2 linked regions of the Nothobranchius furzeri genome follow. The protein of the gene in region 2 purifies or fractionates together with the protein of the main gene of each other region. This does not show direct contact. Links are inferred from orthologs where the notes say so. Each region holds a gene or a part of one and is shown on either strand. Other genes may lie near its edges.

Region 1 (4,574 bases), on a different chromosome or scaffold from region 2:
AAAATCTGTTGCTGTTCCAACTGCTGCAACGGTTCCTTTCAGAATAAAAGCTGAACCATCACGACCCCCTTTTTGGTCTCGCTAGATGCCAATAAAACTGTCGTGACCCGGAAGTATCCCAAGACTGGTCTGGTCGGACGGCAACCGCTGCTTTTCCTAAAGGCTTCGGTTCCAGAGAAGGTCAAGCTGTCATGGCCTGAGGTATATTGTTCCCCACACTAACCCTTCTCCTGCAGGTGGGCGGTGCCGGAGAACTGCCCAGCTGCAGCCACTCAGCTGCAATCACCGGCTGGCTATATGAGGGGCAGTCTGAGACCTACACGACGTCGGATGATTAACTCGTTTGGGTATATGACCTAGTCTCGAGCTCTGTCGCTATCTTTGAGCGTGTTTTGTTTTTGTGCCCTTGCTGATTGCATTTTCCTACAGCAGATATCACTCTACATCATCCCGCCAGCCGATCTCTCTCTCTCTCTCTCTCTCTCTCTCTCTCTCTCTCTCTCTCTCTCTCTCTCTCTCTCTCTCTCTCTCTCTCTCTCTCTCTCTCTCTCTCTCTCTCTCTCTCTCTCTCTCTCTCTCTCTCTCTCTCTCTCTCTCTCTCTCTCTCTCTCTCTCTCTCTCTCTCTCTCTCTCTCTCTCTCTCTCTCTCTCTCTCTCTCTCTCTCTCTCTCTCTCTCTCTCTCTCTCTCTCTCTCTCTCTCTCTCTCTCTCTCTCTCTCTCTCTCTCTCTCTCTCTCTCTCTCTCTCTCTCTCTCTCACACACACACACACACACACACCAGAACCAGCTGCTAATGGTTTGTCAGGAAAACTTATGAGATGTTCTCCATCACTTTGGAATAAAAAAAGACGGTAGACTGGAGTTCTTCAGACAACCCACTTCACCCTCTATGTGTGTGTGTGTTTGTGTGTGTTGTACCTGCGCCCTTTACTCTGCAGAGCCTGGCAGGCCGTCTGGGTGAAGATGACTCCCTGCAGCTCCCTGAATTCCAGGATCTCCAGGAAGTTGACCACCACCTCCACCCCCGGCACCACATAGTGGGTCAAGTCTCCGGGCAACACCTTGCCATCTGTTGAGGGGTCATCAGGTCGTTACCATGGCTACACACAACATATTCACTGTTTTATACAGAAATCAGATGTTCTGTTACACTGATCTACCTGTGATAATAAATCCATCAGAGAAAATACAAATATTAAATTATATCGGTCCTCTAACGTTCGGTTGGACAAGAATGTGAGTCTACCAACAGCTCCAATCCATCCATCCATCCATCTTCTGAACCCGCTTTGTCCATGTAGGGTCGCGGGGGGGCTGGTGCCCATCTCCAGCAGTCAACGGGCAATTAGGCAAGGTACACCCTGGACAGAGAGCCAGTCCATCGCAGGGCAACACAGAGACACACAGGACAAACAATCATGCACACACACACACACACATAAGGACAATTTAGACAGACCAATCAACCTAATAGTCATGTTTTTGTACTGTGGGAGGAAGCCGGAGTACCCAGAGAGAACCCACGCATGCAAAATGAGACCATGCAAACTCCATGCAGAAGGATCCCAGGCCGGGAAGCGAACCCAGGACCTTCTTGCTGCAAGGCAACAGCTCTAACCACTGCACCACTGCGCAGCCCAACAGCTCCAGTCCGAGTCATCAAATCAAGTTTAACCAATCTGCTTGTTAAATCTGTTGGAGAAAATGAAGTTTAAAGCAAAATTTTGTTTAAATGAATCAAAAAAAATCTTTACAGTATGCTCTAATGGGAAACAGGTCTCAACACAAACGGTTGGTTTCTGCTTGGTCCTAGAGCTCAACCAGTGTCAATTTAGTATAGCGTAATATTGTTTTTGGATGGTAAAATGTGCAGGGGTCAAAACTTGACGTTGGAAAAAGTGGGGAGGGACATGCCCCCCCCCCCCCCCCCAATTACGTCCATGCATTTACTGATTAGTAACAAACGATTATAAAACTTTCACTATTAATAAACATTGTTTTACACATTTATCTCTTCACTTGTTGCCACTGATGAAAGGAGGTCTGATGTGCTTGTCATTTTCCTGAAGTTTGCACTCCTCAGGGCTTTTTGACCCTAATAGGCATCCGTTGGTAAGGTCTTACTCCAACACAAAAATGCTGCTTGCTTGCAATGTTTTAGGTGTCTACTGCTCCCCATCAACCAGGAAAAATACACACTGGCACATTAAAGACAGTTTTAAGTCTGTTTGGATCGCTGGTACATATTATATAATAGAACAGTCCTTTGTCTTTATGTCTAACTGTTTTATCTTGTATGTTTTTATCTTATCTGTTTTTCTTTAGTGTAAAGCTAACTATGTGTCTGTTGCTGCTGCATCTTGGCCAGATCATCTCTGTAAACGAGAATGAGCTCTCAATCGACTCATCTGGTTAAATAAAAATAAATAAAGGTTTAATAAATGAAGGACTGGAAATAAAACACTCGTTAGCTCTTAGTGGCTGGCTGTGTTTTTAGCGACTAGATGTGTTTTATCGGCCGGTTTATTTAGTTATTTTTGTTTGTTTTTTGCGACTAGTAGTGTGTTTTATAGACTGGTTGTGTTTGTAACGACTAGTTGTGTTTTAAACGGCTGTTTGTGTGTTTTTAGCAACTAGTTGTGTGTTTTGGCGGACTTACCGTTAGCACAGGCCGCCTGACACAGAGAGCTGAAGCAGGGAACCCGCTCCCTCAGATAGTGCTCCCGAACCACCCGAACCCTCCGGCCTCGGTAACTCTTCAGGTGCAGAATCTTCTCGGTTTTAATCATCCCGAACTCTGAACCGAAATGGATCAGCAGCCGCTGACCCAAAGTTTACAAACCGGAACTTTAAAGTGAAGACTATGTTTTGGCGGACTTGTGAGAGGGAAGCTCCAAGTGTTGTGCCGAAAAGAGCATGCCTGGCGAAATGTGCATCCCCGTTGTGGAAAGGCGCTTAAAAAGTACTATTAATGTAATATTATTATGTTTATCTGCGTGATTCCTTACAAAAAGATCGTTTGTAGGCAGATAAATTAAAGAAATTTATGTTTAAAACATTTTTATTTGAAGAAATAGTAATAAAGTAGTAATAAATATTTTAAAATGAGTAATTTTGTGTCACGTGTGTTTTTTAAGAACCAACAACAAAATAGTTGGGAGAAAGCACAAAAATACATAAAAAATGCTCACTAAAACATTATTCTCAAACGTTCAAAAACGTAATTTTTTTATAACTATTTCATCATATTTGTAAACAAAAACAAAACGCTTTCACGAAAAACACGTAACAGAAGCGTGTTAGCCTCGTCGCTCATAAAGTATTCTAGTTTACCTCTATGCTTATTTCATGGGGATACGCATTTCGGCAGGCATGCTCCTTTCGGCACAACACCTGTTTCCGTGTTGAGAGAGTCGGAGCCACGGTTGGTGCTGTCCTTTTGCGTTCATGTACTGTCGGACAAAAGAAAACTCATGGATTCTCTTCTGTCCCGCAAACAGAAATTCTTCAGGTGTTTTTCAAAAGGTTTTTGAATTTACCAGAATTTTCTGAAATAAACAAAAAGACGACGTTTACAAAATATGTTCTAGGGGTTGATTAAAAACACTTTTATCTGGAAAAGTTTCACATTAAAAAATTGTTCACAAAACAGTTAAATGTTTGCTTAAAGGTATCTGTGTTGAACTAGCCTGGCAAGCCAGACTAAATAAGTATATTATTTGTATTTAAACTTAAAAGGGAGGAATCTGGTCTAGTTTTACTAGCCTAGTATTGAACACCTTTTCTGGTTAGAATACTAAACAGGAAATTCTGTCATCAGCACTTTTTTTCCCCCCTCTGTGGCAAACAGCAAATCTTTTATGATTCATGTGATGAATTTATTGTAGTATTGTGAGAGGTTAAACATTTTACAGGAAGCCTCTAGGTGGACCTAGTGTTCTGGATGCAAAGTGGGGTGTACTTTAACATTAGACAAGCGGAAGTTCGTTGCCGGGAAGCATGGCTGTACCTGTGTTGGAGTAATAAATATTCCCAAAGAACAACCCACTCTCCGTGAGCTTATTCTTGCCACCAGAGGATATTACATTTATATACAATTTTAAAAAGACCCAAAACATTTTTTTTACAACTAGAAACTGTTTTTTGAGCCTTTGTACAGCCTATGAAATGTTGTTGGGGTCTACAATGGCCCAGGAGCTCTGATAAATGATCAAACACAAAATTATAATAAAGACCTACAAATAAGACCTATAAACTGGTTTAGCCAGCCCACTGGGTCAGAACCAAGCAGAAACCCCGAAGACCCAGACCTGAAACCAACACGGAAGTAAAAAAAGTGCTTGTTGTAGCTGGATTGGTTCAGTTTATGGGTGTCAGTCATTTGCTCCCACCCTCACAGCCCGACTCTCAGCTTCATCTCTTTTCTCATGTTTGGACTGTCTGGGCGTGATGAGACGTGCAACACAGCCAAGATGAAGGTGTTAGGAGCCGCCTATGGGGAGCCTAAGTCACGCCCATCTACTTCCGGACCACGGGTCCACGGAAGAACGAAAAAATGAATGCAAGTCAACGG
Region 2 (3,515 bases):
CTACTGAAACCGCTCTTCTTAGGGTCTCTAATGACCTTCTGACTCACAGTGATGCAGGGTTCTGGTTCTGGTCCTGCTGGACCTGACTGCAGCCTTTGACACTGTTGACCATCACCTGCTACTGGAGAGGCTGAGAGACTGGGTAGGCCTATCAGGATCTGCTCTGGAGTGGTTCTCCTCTTATCTCTCTGAGGGCTCCTTTTCTGTGGCAGTCTCCAAGTTTAGGTCCTCCACCACCTCCCTTACCCATGGTGTCCCACAAGGTTCTGTGCTGGGGCCTCTGCTCTTCCTCCTCTGTCTGCTTCCTCTTCAGCACATCCTGAGCTCCTTCAAAGGAATCTCCTACCATCTTTACACAGATGACATCCAACTGTACATCTCCTTTAAGCCCCATGAGATGTCTAAGCTGCAGCTGTTACACACCTGCTTAGACTCTATCAAAACCTGGATGGTGGGAGCTTTCTTCAGCTGAATGAAGATAAGACTGAGATCCTCATCTGTGCCCCAGACAAGCTGGTTCCCAAAGTCAGAGACTCTCTTGGTCAGCTTGCTTCCCACACCAAACCCTCCGTCAGGAATCTTGGCGTGACCTTTGACCCAGCTCTCACCCTGGATTCTCATGTCAGTTCTCTTGTTGGCTCTTCCTTCTTCCATCTCAGGAACGTTGCTAAGCTGAGTCCCATTCTGTCCCGCTCTGAACTTGAGACGGTTCTCCACTCCTTCATCTCCTCACGCTTAGACTACTGTAACTCTCTTTTCACGTGTCTGAGCAGAACCTCCCTGAACCGTCTACAGGTGGTTCAGAACGCCTGTGCTCGGCTTCTGACCAAGTCCTCCAAACACACCCACATCACCCCGCTTCTCCTCCAGCTTCACTGGCTGCCAGTCAACTTCAGGGTTCATTTCAAGATCCTGGTTCTGGTCTATAGGGCCTTACATGGACAAGCACCATCTTACATTGGTGATCTTCTTAGTCCCTACACCCCCAGCAGGTCCCTGAGGTCCAGTGATCAAAGCCTACTGGTTGTGCAGCACCAGGCCAAAGACCAAAGGTGACAGATCATCTGCTGCTGTCGCCCCCAGACTCTGGACCTCTCTCACCCTGAGCCTGAGATCAGTGGACTCAGTGGTCTCCTTTAAAAAGCAGCTGAAGACTCACTTGTTCAAGCTGGCTTTTGTATGACCTTCTTCACCTCTCTCTCTTTATTCTGCTCTCCCCACCTATTCCACCTTCCTCAGGATCCACTGATTTCCCTCTTTCCTATTCACTCTCTCTTTCTTAACATTTTTTTGATCACAATTGTCTATTTTTTGCTCATTTTAAATATATTTTTAACCATTTTCTAAATTGTTTTTTATATTTTAACATTTTTGTTTTTGTGAAGCGCCTTGTGATTTTTATCTTGAGAGGTGCTATAGAAATGATATTTTCTTCTTCTTCTTCTTCTTGTGACTCCCACGTGTCAGTCTGAAGTATATTTAGAAGGAATTCTTTGAAAAAAGACTTTGTTTAATAATTTAATTCCTAGTTGAATCCATCAGCATGTTTTTGCTCTGTGTTGTTGTAGGTTATGAGATGCAGTAAAATAGCCAGCGTCAAAGTGTCTGAAATCACTGAACTCATCAGTCAAGCCTTGTTAAATGACAAGGCTGCCAGGTGAGTGGCTGTCTCCTATTTATTACTACATTACCCACAATTCCCTTTAGAGGCTACATTTGAATGATGTGTTTGAAACGTTCCAGGAAGGCAGGTGGTAAATGTGGCTTTGCCGAGTCCATGCCTCAGGATCGGATCACAGCTCTGAAAATGGACCAGACCGATGTAGAGATGACCAACGTGAGCCAAACAGGAAGTGGGGTGATCCTCCAGGGAGATGAAGCCCCGCCCCCAACGTATCCTGAACTGAAATGAAAGGACAAAAAAGGAACGGCATTTGTTTTTGTTTCTGACAGTTAGTCTCCCTAACCACACACCCATACCAGAGTCCCATCCCCAGTGGTGCCGGTGCCAGGTGTTGGTCAGGTGGGTCAGGGTCTGCAGAGCTGGGGACTGGAGGAGGAAGAAGAAGATGATGATGATGAGGAGGAGGAGAGCAGTGGAGATGACCAAGTGGAAGAAGTGACACAGATAAAACTGTCAGAAAAAGACAAGAAAGAAGGTTATTTGTTTTCATAACTAAAAGTCATGGAAGAAGAAAAAAAATTATAATTGAACTTTAATGTGTTTTGTCTTACAGCAGCTGTGGTGGAGATTTCAGACAGTGAGGAAGAGGAGGTGGTCATACTTTATCCAGAGACGACAGAGAAATCAAAGTAACATCTATTTGTTTGATATGAAGCCGAGGAGGTTGATAAATTAAACTAATCTCACCGGTTTCTGATTTTTTTCTTCTTCAGGAATTCTGGGTCCAGATCTGACCAGAAGGGGGCAGCAGCATCCAAGAAACGCCAGAAGAAATGACCGCAGCTTGAAACCGAAACAGAGAAAATACTACAATAATATGATATCGAAAAAGGCTTAAAACTGATTCAAATAAATTTATTTTTTACATTTCTAGAATCATTGTTGCGCGAATCAAAAGTTTGTCCATCATATGTCACTCATAAGAAACTTAAATAAGTCATGAGTCAGGTTCACGATAACACACGAGATTCACGCTTAGACAAAAATTCACCGTGTAGATGTGATGGTGGAGTGATAAAAAAAACAAACCAATTTACGTTAAAAATAATCAGGTTCCACCGAGATTTGAACTCGGATCGCTGGATTCAGAGTCCAGAGTGCTAACCATTACACCATGGAACCATACTGGCATCGTCGGGCGAACTCCTTCCTATTGAAAAGCAGCAGAGACATACTGTTAATTTGTTTCTGTTTAGGTTTGCAGACACAACAGATATCTTTCGTTAAATGAATGCCAGTAGCACATTGAATTGCCTCTGTGTATGAAATGTGCAATATAAATAAAGCTGCCTTGCCTAGTGAAATGCGTTGTGGAGTCCTCTGGCGTCACATAAGTGCAGATCATTTATGGTTAAAATAATGACGGATTTGGACAGAGTAAAAATAACTAAGTGGCCCGTACGGGGATCGAACCCGCGACCTTGGCGTTATTAGCACCACGCTCTAACCAACTGAGCTAACCGGCCGTGATGAGATCTGATGACAGGTTTTGTTAAATAGAAGGAATGTAGTCATCAGTTTTTTGAAGTAGTTTTTGCTTACCGTGGTTAGTTGAAACGCAACTGTGTGTGCTCAGCTTTTGACCAAATACTCAAAACACACCCACATCACCCCACTTCTCCTCCAGCTTCACTGGCTGCCAGTCAACTTCAGGGTTAATTTCAAGATCCTGGTTCTGGTTTTTAGGGATCTTCTCAGTCCTCACACCCCCAGCAGGTCCCTGAGGTCCATTGACCAACTGAGGTCCAAATACCACTGGTTGTTCAGCACACCAGGCTAAAGGTCAAAGGCTGGCCCCCAGAATCTGGAACTCTCTCCCCCTGAGCCTGAG

What was found.
Region 1: the proteins of exosc9 (region 2) and dis3l purify together in Homo sapiens (affinity purification with mass spectrometry; 3 studies listed by BioGRID and IntAct, with this or other methods). This does not show direct contact. The link is inferred for Nothobranchius furzeri from reciprocal best matches to the Homo sapiens genes EXOSC9 and DIS3L.

The regions. Positions count from the first base shown.
Region 1 is NC_091749.1:66,618,579-66,623,152, forward strand, and holds the start of dis3l (DIS3-like exonuclease 1), read right to left. Parts: upstream 2,927-4,574; 5' UTR 2,791-2,926; coding exon 2,661-2,790; intron 1,071-2,660; coding exon 920-1,070; intron 1-919. UniProt on the Homo sapiens protein: Catalytic component of the RNA exosome complex which has 3'->5' exoribonuclease activity and participates in a multitude of cellular RNA processing and degradation events.
Region 2 is NC_091746.1:81,904,483-81,907,997, reverse strand, and holds the end of exosc9 (exosome complex component RRP45), read left to right. Parts: intron 1-1,568; coding exon 1,569-1,657; intron 1,658-1,743; coding exon 1,744-1,893; intron 1,894-1,983; coding exon 1,984-2,159; intron 2,160-2,237; coding exon 2,238-2,313; intron 2,314-2,397; coding exon 2,398-2,461; 3' UTR 2,462-2,560; downstream 2,561-3,515. UniProt on the Homo sapiens protein: Non-catalytic component of the RNA exosome complex which has 3'->5' exoribonuclease activity and participates in a multitude of cellular RNA processing and degradation events.